Linked DNA regions of Macaca fascicularis. The protein of the gene in region 2 interacts with the protein of the main gene of each other region in a biochemical or structural test. Links are inferred from orthologs where the notes say so. Each region holds a gene or a part of one and is shown on either strand. Other genes may lie near its edges. The genes, in order: NUP43 and NUP85.

Evidence for each region.
Region 1: the proteins of NUP85 (region 2) and NUP43 form a complex in vitro, tested with the Homo sapiens proteins (2 studies listed by BioGRID). The link is inferred for Macaca fascicularis from reciprocal best matches to the Homo sapiens genes NUP85 and NUP43.

The regions. Positions count from the first base shown.
Region 1 is NC_088378.1:57,729,175-57,732,989, reverse strand, and holds part of NUP43 (nucleoporin Nup43), read left to right. Parts: coding exon 1-3; intron 4-1,056; coding exon 1,057-1,237; intron 1,238-3,815. UniProt on the Homo sapiens protein: Component of the Nup107-160 subcomplex of the nuclear pore complex (NPC). The Nup107-160 subcomplex is required for the assembly of a functional NPC.
Region 2 is NC_088390.1:81,599,971-81,603,785, reverse strand, and holds part of NUP85 (nuclear pore complex protein Nup85), read right to left. Parts: intron 3,122-3,815; coding exon 3,051-3,121; intron 1,976-3,050; coding exon 1,932-1,975; intron 1-1,931. UniProt on the Homo sapiens protein: Essential component of the nuclear pore complex (NPC) that seems to be required for NPC assembly and maintenance. As part of the NPC Nup107-160 subcomplex plays a role in RNA export and in tethering NUP96/Nup98 and NUP153 to the nucleus.

The DNA.
Region 1 (3,815 bases), on a different chromosome or scaffold from region 2:
CAGGTAAAGAACTTCAGTTTGAAAAGTGATTTTTTTTTTTTTTTGGAGATGGAGTTCTGCTCTTTTTGCCCAGGCACTGGAGTGCAATGGCACAATCTCGGCTCATCACAAGCTCCGCCTTCCAGCTTCAAGTGATTCTCCTGCCTCAGCCTCCCAAGTAGCTGGGATTACAGGCATGTGACACCATGCCCGGCTAATTTTATATTTTTCGTAGAGACGGGGTTTCTCCATGTTGGTCAGGCTGATCTCGAACTCCTGACCTCAGGTGATCAGCCCTCTTCACCCTCCCAAAGTGCTGGGATTATAGGCATAAGCCACTGCTCCCGGCCAAAGGTAACGTTTCTAATAGACATGCCTAGTAAATATAAGACCCAGTTCGTGTTAAAGGTTTTTTGAGTCATTTAGAAAAAGCTACAGAGATTAATATTTTTTTAATTAATTAATTTATTTATTTTGAGACAGAGTCTCTCTCTGTCGCCCAGGCTGGAGTGCAGTGGCACGATCTCTGCTCACTGCAGCCTGCACCTCCCTGGTTCAAGCAATTCTCCCACCTTAGCTTCCCAAGTAGCTGGGATTACAGGTGTGTGCCACCATACCTGGCTAATTTTTGTATTTTTAGTAGAGATGGGATTTCACCATATTGACCAGGCTGGTCTCGAACTCCTGACCTCAGATGATCTGCCTGCCTTGGCCTCCCAAAGTGCTAGGATTACAGGCATGAGCCACAGCCATGGGCCAGAGATTTATATTTTAGATGTAGGTTAATTTCCATAAGAATACAAAGAGTTGCTTTTGAACATCCAACTGCTTGATCCCTAAAAGTCATTACTGTAGTTTGAGATAAATGTGGGGCATTATTAAACAGTATTTCTTTTGAATCTAATTCTATGTATACAGAACTTTGATGCAAGTAGTTTCTAGATTTCATTATTCTAAAGGAAAAAAGATTTATTCTTGTAGAAGGATGTGAGTCAGAATTTAAAGATACTCTTGTTGGTAAGAAGTGCTAGTTCCTTAGTACTTTTCTTTAATAGTATCCTCATTTCTGATGCCTAGACTCTGTCAGTCAACCAGCAGTGGACTACAGCTCACTACCACGCAGGCCCTGGCAGTCCTTCCTATAGCAGTGCACCATGTACAGGTGTTGTGTGCAATAACCCAGAAATCGTTACAGTTGGAGAGGATGGTCGAATAAATCTCTTCAGAGCTGATCACAAGGAAGCTGTAAGAACCATAGGTAAGAAAAATCCCAGCCTGGCCAACATGGCAAAACCTTGTCTCTATTAAAAATACAAAAGTTAGGCTGGGTGTGGTGGCTCACCCTGGCAATCGCAGCACTTTGGGAGGCGGATCACCTGAGGTTGGGAGTCCAAGACCAGCCTGACCAACATGGAGAAACACTCTCTCTATTAAAAATACAAAATTAGCCGGGAATGGTGGCACATGCCTGTAATCCCAGCTACTTGGGAGGCTGAGGCAGGAGAATCACTTGAACCCGGGAGGCAGAGGTTGCAGTGAGCAGATTGTGACATTGCACTCCAGCCTGGGCAATAAGAGTGAAACTCTGTCTCAAAAAAAAAAAAAAAGAAAAGAAAAGTGAGCCAGGCATGGTGGCGCATGCTTGTAATCCCAGCTACTCAGGAGGCTGAGGCGGGAGAATCACTTGAACCTGAGAGGCGGAGGTTGCGGTGAGCTGTGATGGCACTCTACTCCCACCTGGGTGACAGAGGGAGACTCCATCTCAAAAAAAGAAAAATCATTGTATTCCTTTCATTCATCACAGAGTAATTGAGTGCTTACCATATACTAAGTAAACACTGCCAGGCATGATGGCTCATGCCTGTTACCCCAGCACTTTGGGAGGCCAAGGCAGGCGGATCACAAGGTCGAGAGATTGTGATCATCCTGGCCAACATCGTGAAAGTCTGTCTCTACTAAACATAACAAAAATTAGCTGGGTGTGGTGGCATGCGCCTGTAGTCCCAGCTACTCAGGAGGCTGAGGCAGAAGAAGCGCTTGAACCTGGGAGGTAGAGGTTGCAGTGAGCCAAGATTACACCACTGCACGCTAGCCTGGCGACGAAGCAAGACTCCATCTCAAAAATAAAAGTAAACACAATGAGCCGGGCGCGGTGGCTCACGCCTGTAATCACAATACTTTGGGAGGCCGAGGCGGGCGGATCACAAGATCAGGAGATTGAGACTATCCTGGCTAACATGATGAAACCCCGTCTCTACTAAAAATACAAAAAATTAGCCTGGCATAGTGTCGACAGTTGTCTGTAGTCCCAGCTACTCTGGAGGCTGAGGCAGGAGAATGGCATGAACCTAGGAGGCAGAGCTTGCAGTGAATCGAGATCGCACCACTGCACTCCAGCCTGGGCGACAGAGCGAGACCCCGTCTCAAAAAAAAAAGTAAACACAATGTTAAGTGATTGAGGGATATAAAAATATATGGCTGGTAGCAGTGGCTCATGCCTATAATCCCAGCACATTAGGAAACCAAGGCAAGCAGATCATTTGAGGCCAAGAGTTTGAGACCAGCCTGGCCAACATGGCAAAACCCTGTCTCTACTGAAAGTACAAACATTAGCTGGGCATGGTGGCACACGCCTGTAATCCCAGCTGCTTGGGAGGCTAAGTCATGAGAATTACTTGAACGTGAGAGACTGAGAGGCTGCATTGAGCCAAGATCACGCCACTGCACTCCAGCCTGGGTGACAGAGCAAGACTCAGTCTCAAAAAAATACATGTACACATGCACACACATGCACGCACGGCAGGATCCCTTTGTCAAGAGAGTAGGTTGATGAGGCCAGTACGAATGACTGACTAGAAGAAACAGAAACCATTTTTTTTTTTTTTTTGGCGAGAGGGCATTATCAGATAAAGCATCTGGGAGTAGGTAGTAATTAATAGTTTTTCTGGGTTCTAGACCATAAGTAAGACTGAAAGATGGCGTGCTAGACAAAGGGAATAGGCCAGAGGCAGGATAAAGACATTCAGAGAATGACAAAAAGTATGGTTTGACCTGACTTTAGATATCTATGTAGGAGAGATGAAAGATGAAGCAAGAGAGGGGTAAACTGGGGCCAGATTGCAGAGTCTGTAATGCAAAATCACAGAGGTTTCATCTTTTTTTTTTTTTTTTTTTTTTTTGAGACGGAGTCTTGCTCTGTCACCCAGGCTGGAGTGCAGTGGCCAGATCTCGGCTCACTGCAAGCTCCGCCTCCCGGGTTCACTCCATTCTCCTGCCTCAGCCTCCCGAGTAGCTGGGACTACAGGCACCCACCACCTCGCCCGGCTAGTTTTTTGTAATTTTTAGTAGAGACGGGGTTTCACCGTGTTAGCCAGGATGGTCTCGATCTCCTGACCTCGTGATCTGCCCGTCTCGGCCTCCCAAAGTGCGGGGATTACAGGCTTGAGCCACCGCGCCCGGCCGAGGTTTCATCTTTTAGGTAGAAAACTAAGTGTATTGGTTCTCAACTATGCTTCAGTCAGATTTCTCTGAGGCAATTTTTTAACTGTCCACCACTCTAGACCTCTTAAATCAGAATCTCTAGGAATTGAGCCCATGAATCCATTTTGTGAGTGGTTTTTTTAAGATGTAGTCTCACTCTGTCACCAAGCTGGAGTGCAGTGGCATGACCTCAGCTCACTGCAACCTCCACCTCCTGGGTTCACACGATTCTCCAGCCTCAGCCTCCCAAGTAGCTAGGACTATAGGCACACGCCACCACGCTCAGCTACTTTTTGTATTTTTAGTAGAGACGGGCTTTCAACATGTTGGCCAGGATGGTCTTGAACTCTTGACCT
Region 2 (3,815 bases):
CAGGAAAATGGCGTGAACCCAGGAGGCGGAGCTTGCAGTGAGCTGAGATCGTGCCACTGCACTCCAGCCTGGGCAACAGAGGGAGACTCCATCTCAAAAAAAAAAAAAAGAAAAGAAAAGAAAAAAAGAAAAAAATATAACTTGCATGTCACCAATTATTACTTTTTTATTTTTTTTGAGATGGAGTTTGGCTCTTCTTGCCCAAGCTACAGTCCAGTGGCGTAATCTCGGCTCACTGCAACTTCCGCATCCTGGGTTCAAGTGATTCTCCTGCCTCAGCCTCCCCAGTAGCTGGGATTACAGGCGTGTGCCACCACGCCCAACTAATTTTTTGTATTTTTAGTCAAGACGGGGTTTCACCACATTGGCCAGGCTGGTCTTGAACTCCTGACCTCAGGTGATCTCCCCCAACTTGGCCTCCCAAAGTGCTGGGATCACAGGCATGAGCCACCGCACCTGGCTATTTTTTTTTTTTTTTTTTTTTTGGAGACAGAGTCTCACTCTGTCAGCCAAGCTGGAGTGCACTGGTATGATTTCGGCTCACTGCAACCTCTGCCTCCAGGGTTCAAGCAATTCTCCTGCCTCAGCCTCCCGAGTAGCTGGGATTACAGGTGCACACCACCATGCCTGGCTAAATATTGTATTTTTAGTAGACGGGGTTTCCATGTTGGCCAGTATGGTCTCGAACTCCTGACCCCAAGAGATCCGCCCACCTCAGCCTCCCAAAGTGCTGGGATTACAGGCGTGAGCCACTGCTCCCAGCCTACCTCGATGAATTGATGCTTTAGCAAGGGACTTCATTTGAGTAAAAGGAAGAGACGATATTTACAAAAATATTCAGTAGATGACACGAAACACGTAGACAGAGCAAGAATTGTGAAGTTGGTATTCCAAGGACTGAAGTTTAGGAAACAGTCTATTAATGGGAAAGCCCAATATAAGACCCCGAAATAAATCAGACCTGGACCTTGCCCTTAGGAATATGCAGGCTTCCTCTCCTCACCATCCTTCGGTCCACAGACACCACGATGACTTGTTTATAAGGGTACTTCAGAGACACTGAATTACCGCCTAGTCACTTACTGACTTTGAAAAGTATTTAATATGAAGCATCTACTAAGGAAAAAGTCATCTTCCAGCTCCAAGTAAAGTAGAGCCACTTGCAACTCAGTAAAAATGTTGAGTTTGGTTAGGTGTGGCAGCTCACACCTATAATCCCAGCACTTTGGGAGGCCAAGGCAGGAGGATCACTTGAGCCCAGGAGTTCAAGACCAGCTTTGACAACATAGAGAGACCCTGTCTTTCAAAGAAAAAAAAAAATATTGAGTTCGAGAAGTGAGTAGTGTTTATGAGACTGAACAGTGATCTCACAAGATTAGTTCTCCATTTCGGGTGACAACCCCTCAACACAATTTGGTCAGGACATACATGTTCCATAAGAACTGAACATTCAGGGCCAGCACGGTGGCTCACGCCTGTAATGCCACCACTTTGGGAGGTCGAGGCGGGTGGATCACTTGAGTTCAAGAGTTTGAGACCAGCCTGGCCAACATGGTGAAACCCCATCTCTACTAAAAATACAAAAAGTAGCTGGGCTCGGTGGTACGCACCTGTAGGACCCAGCTATTCTGGAGGCTGAGGCAGGAGAACTGCTTGAACCTAGGGCACTCGAGCCTGAGTGACAGAGCGAGATTCCGTCTCAAAAAAAAAAAAAAAAAGAAGAAGAAGAACCAAACATTCACTCAAGTATTTAACAAGCATTTCCTTGTGAGCTAGACCTTGAAAGGGGCAAGACAATCACTGTCACCCAAAGGAGCTGCCTATCTACCTGAAGAGACTTCTGCCGTAACAGGAACTGCAAAGCCACCCCAGGTGGGTGCCCAGGACACAGGACACAGTGGTGCTAAAACAACAAAGGTGACTCCCCTTACCTGGCTGCTGAACTGGCGGCCGCTGGCTGGATCTTTAGCAGCAACTAACGAAACACAAAACATTTTAAGTGAGCAATGGAACTCTTAGGCTTATTTTCATAGCTGAATATTCCAGGGTCTATGGCCTGAGCCTTTGTTTCCTTTAATGACAAAAATTAAAAGAAATTATAATCTCTTCTAATTATGGATATTTTTGTTATTAATGCTTCATATCCCTTCAATTCTCAAACCAAAGGCCCTGAAGTTACCAAATGGCACTTTCAACTGCAACAAAGTTACCATAAAGGTCTCTGACCTTTGTCAGAGTGGCTTCATGTGTGGCTCACACCTGTAAGCCCAACACTTGGGAGGCTGATGTGAAAGGACTGCTCGAGCCCAGGAGTTCAAGACCAGCCTTGGCAAAATTAGGGAGACCCTGTCTCTACAAAAAATTTAAAAATTATCAGAACAAATGTCTCTGAGGAAGATGGGACAAAAATTTTTTTTAATAGCCAGTACACACCTGCAATCCCAACTACTTGGAAGGCTGAGGTAGGAAGATCACTTGAGCCCAGGAGGTGAGGTCACGGCTGCAATGAGCCACAATGTGTCTTTGCACTCCAGCCTGGGCAACCTTGTCTCAGGAAAAAAAAAAAAAAAAGTCCAGGCACAGTGGCTGACTCCTGTAATCCCAGCACTCTGGGAGTCCAAGGCAGGCAGATCACTTGAGACCAGGAGTTCAAGACCAGCCTGACCAACATAGTGAAACCCCACCTCTACTAAAAATACAGAAATTAGCTTGGCTTGGTGGTATGCAACTGTAGTCCCAGCCACTCAGGAGGCTGGCTGAGGCTGGAGAATCGCTTGAACCTGGGAGGTGGAGGTTGCAGTGACCTGAGTTCATGCCACAGCACTTCAACCTGGGCGACAGAGTGACACTCGGTCTCAAAAAAAAAAAAAAAAAAAAAAAAAAATACTCTAAATGATTACCAAAAAAGTAAAGATTGTGAAAGATGGAAAAGTAAGTTTTGGACTGGAATATCAATCAAACTTTACCTCACAGTATTTATGCATAGATAAATACTCAAAATACCAACACACACACACACAAACACACACACACACACACACAGTCCTTACTTGCAACCTGGTGCATTTCCTCCATACATGCTCTTATGACTGATCGGTAGTTTTTACTCACTCGAACCAATCTATAAAAAATGAAATAACACACAAGATGAGCCTGGAACATCTTGTAGTGCTAGAAAAGAAGAAAACACTCAAATAAATGTAGAAATTTGCTGAAAGAAAGAGGGGAGCCATTGTGAAGGAGCTCGTAACCTTCTGAAGCTGGAACAACTTGGGCAACAAAATAAAACGCCACAAAACAACCCATGGGCTAAAGTTAATATCCATAAACCCATACTGACATTAATTGTTGCAGATGAAATCTACTAGTCAGACCTTGTCTCAAAAAAATAGATACGGCCGGGCGCGGTGGCTCAAGCCTGTAATCCCAGCACTTTGGGAGGCCGAGACGGGCGGATCACGAGGTCAGGAGATCGAGACCATCCTGGCTAACATGGTGAAACCCCGTCTCTATTAAGAAATACAAAAAACTAGCCGGGCGAGGTGGCAGGCGCCTGTAGTCCCAGCTACTCGGGAGGCTGAGGCCGGAGAATGGCGTGAACCCGGGAGGCGGAGGCTGCAGTGAGCTGAGATCCGGCCACTGCACTCCAGCCTGGGTGACAGAGCGAGACTCCGTCTCAAAAAAAAAAAAAAAAAAAAAAATCCCAGCTACTCGGGAGGCTGAGGTAGGAGAATCTCTTGAACTCGGGAGGCGGAGATTGCAGTGAGCCAAGATCATGTCATTGCACTCCAACCTGGGCGACAGAGCGAGACTCC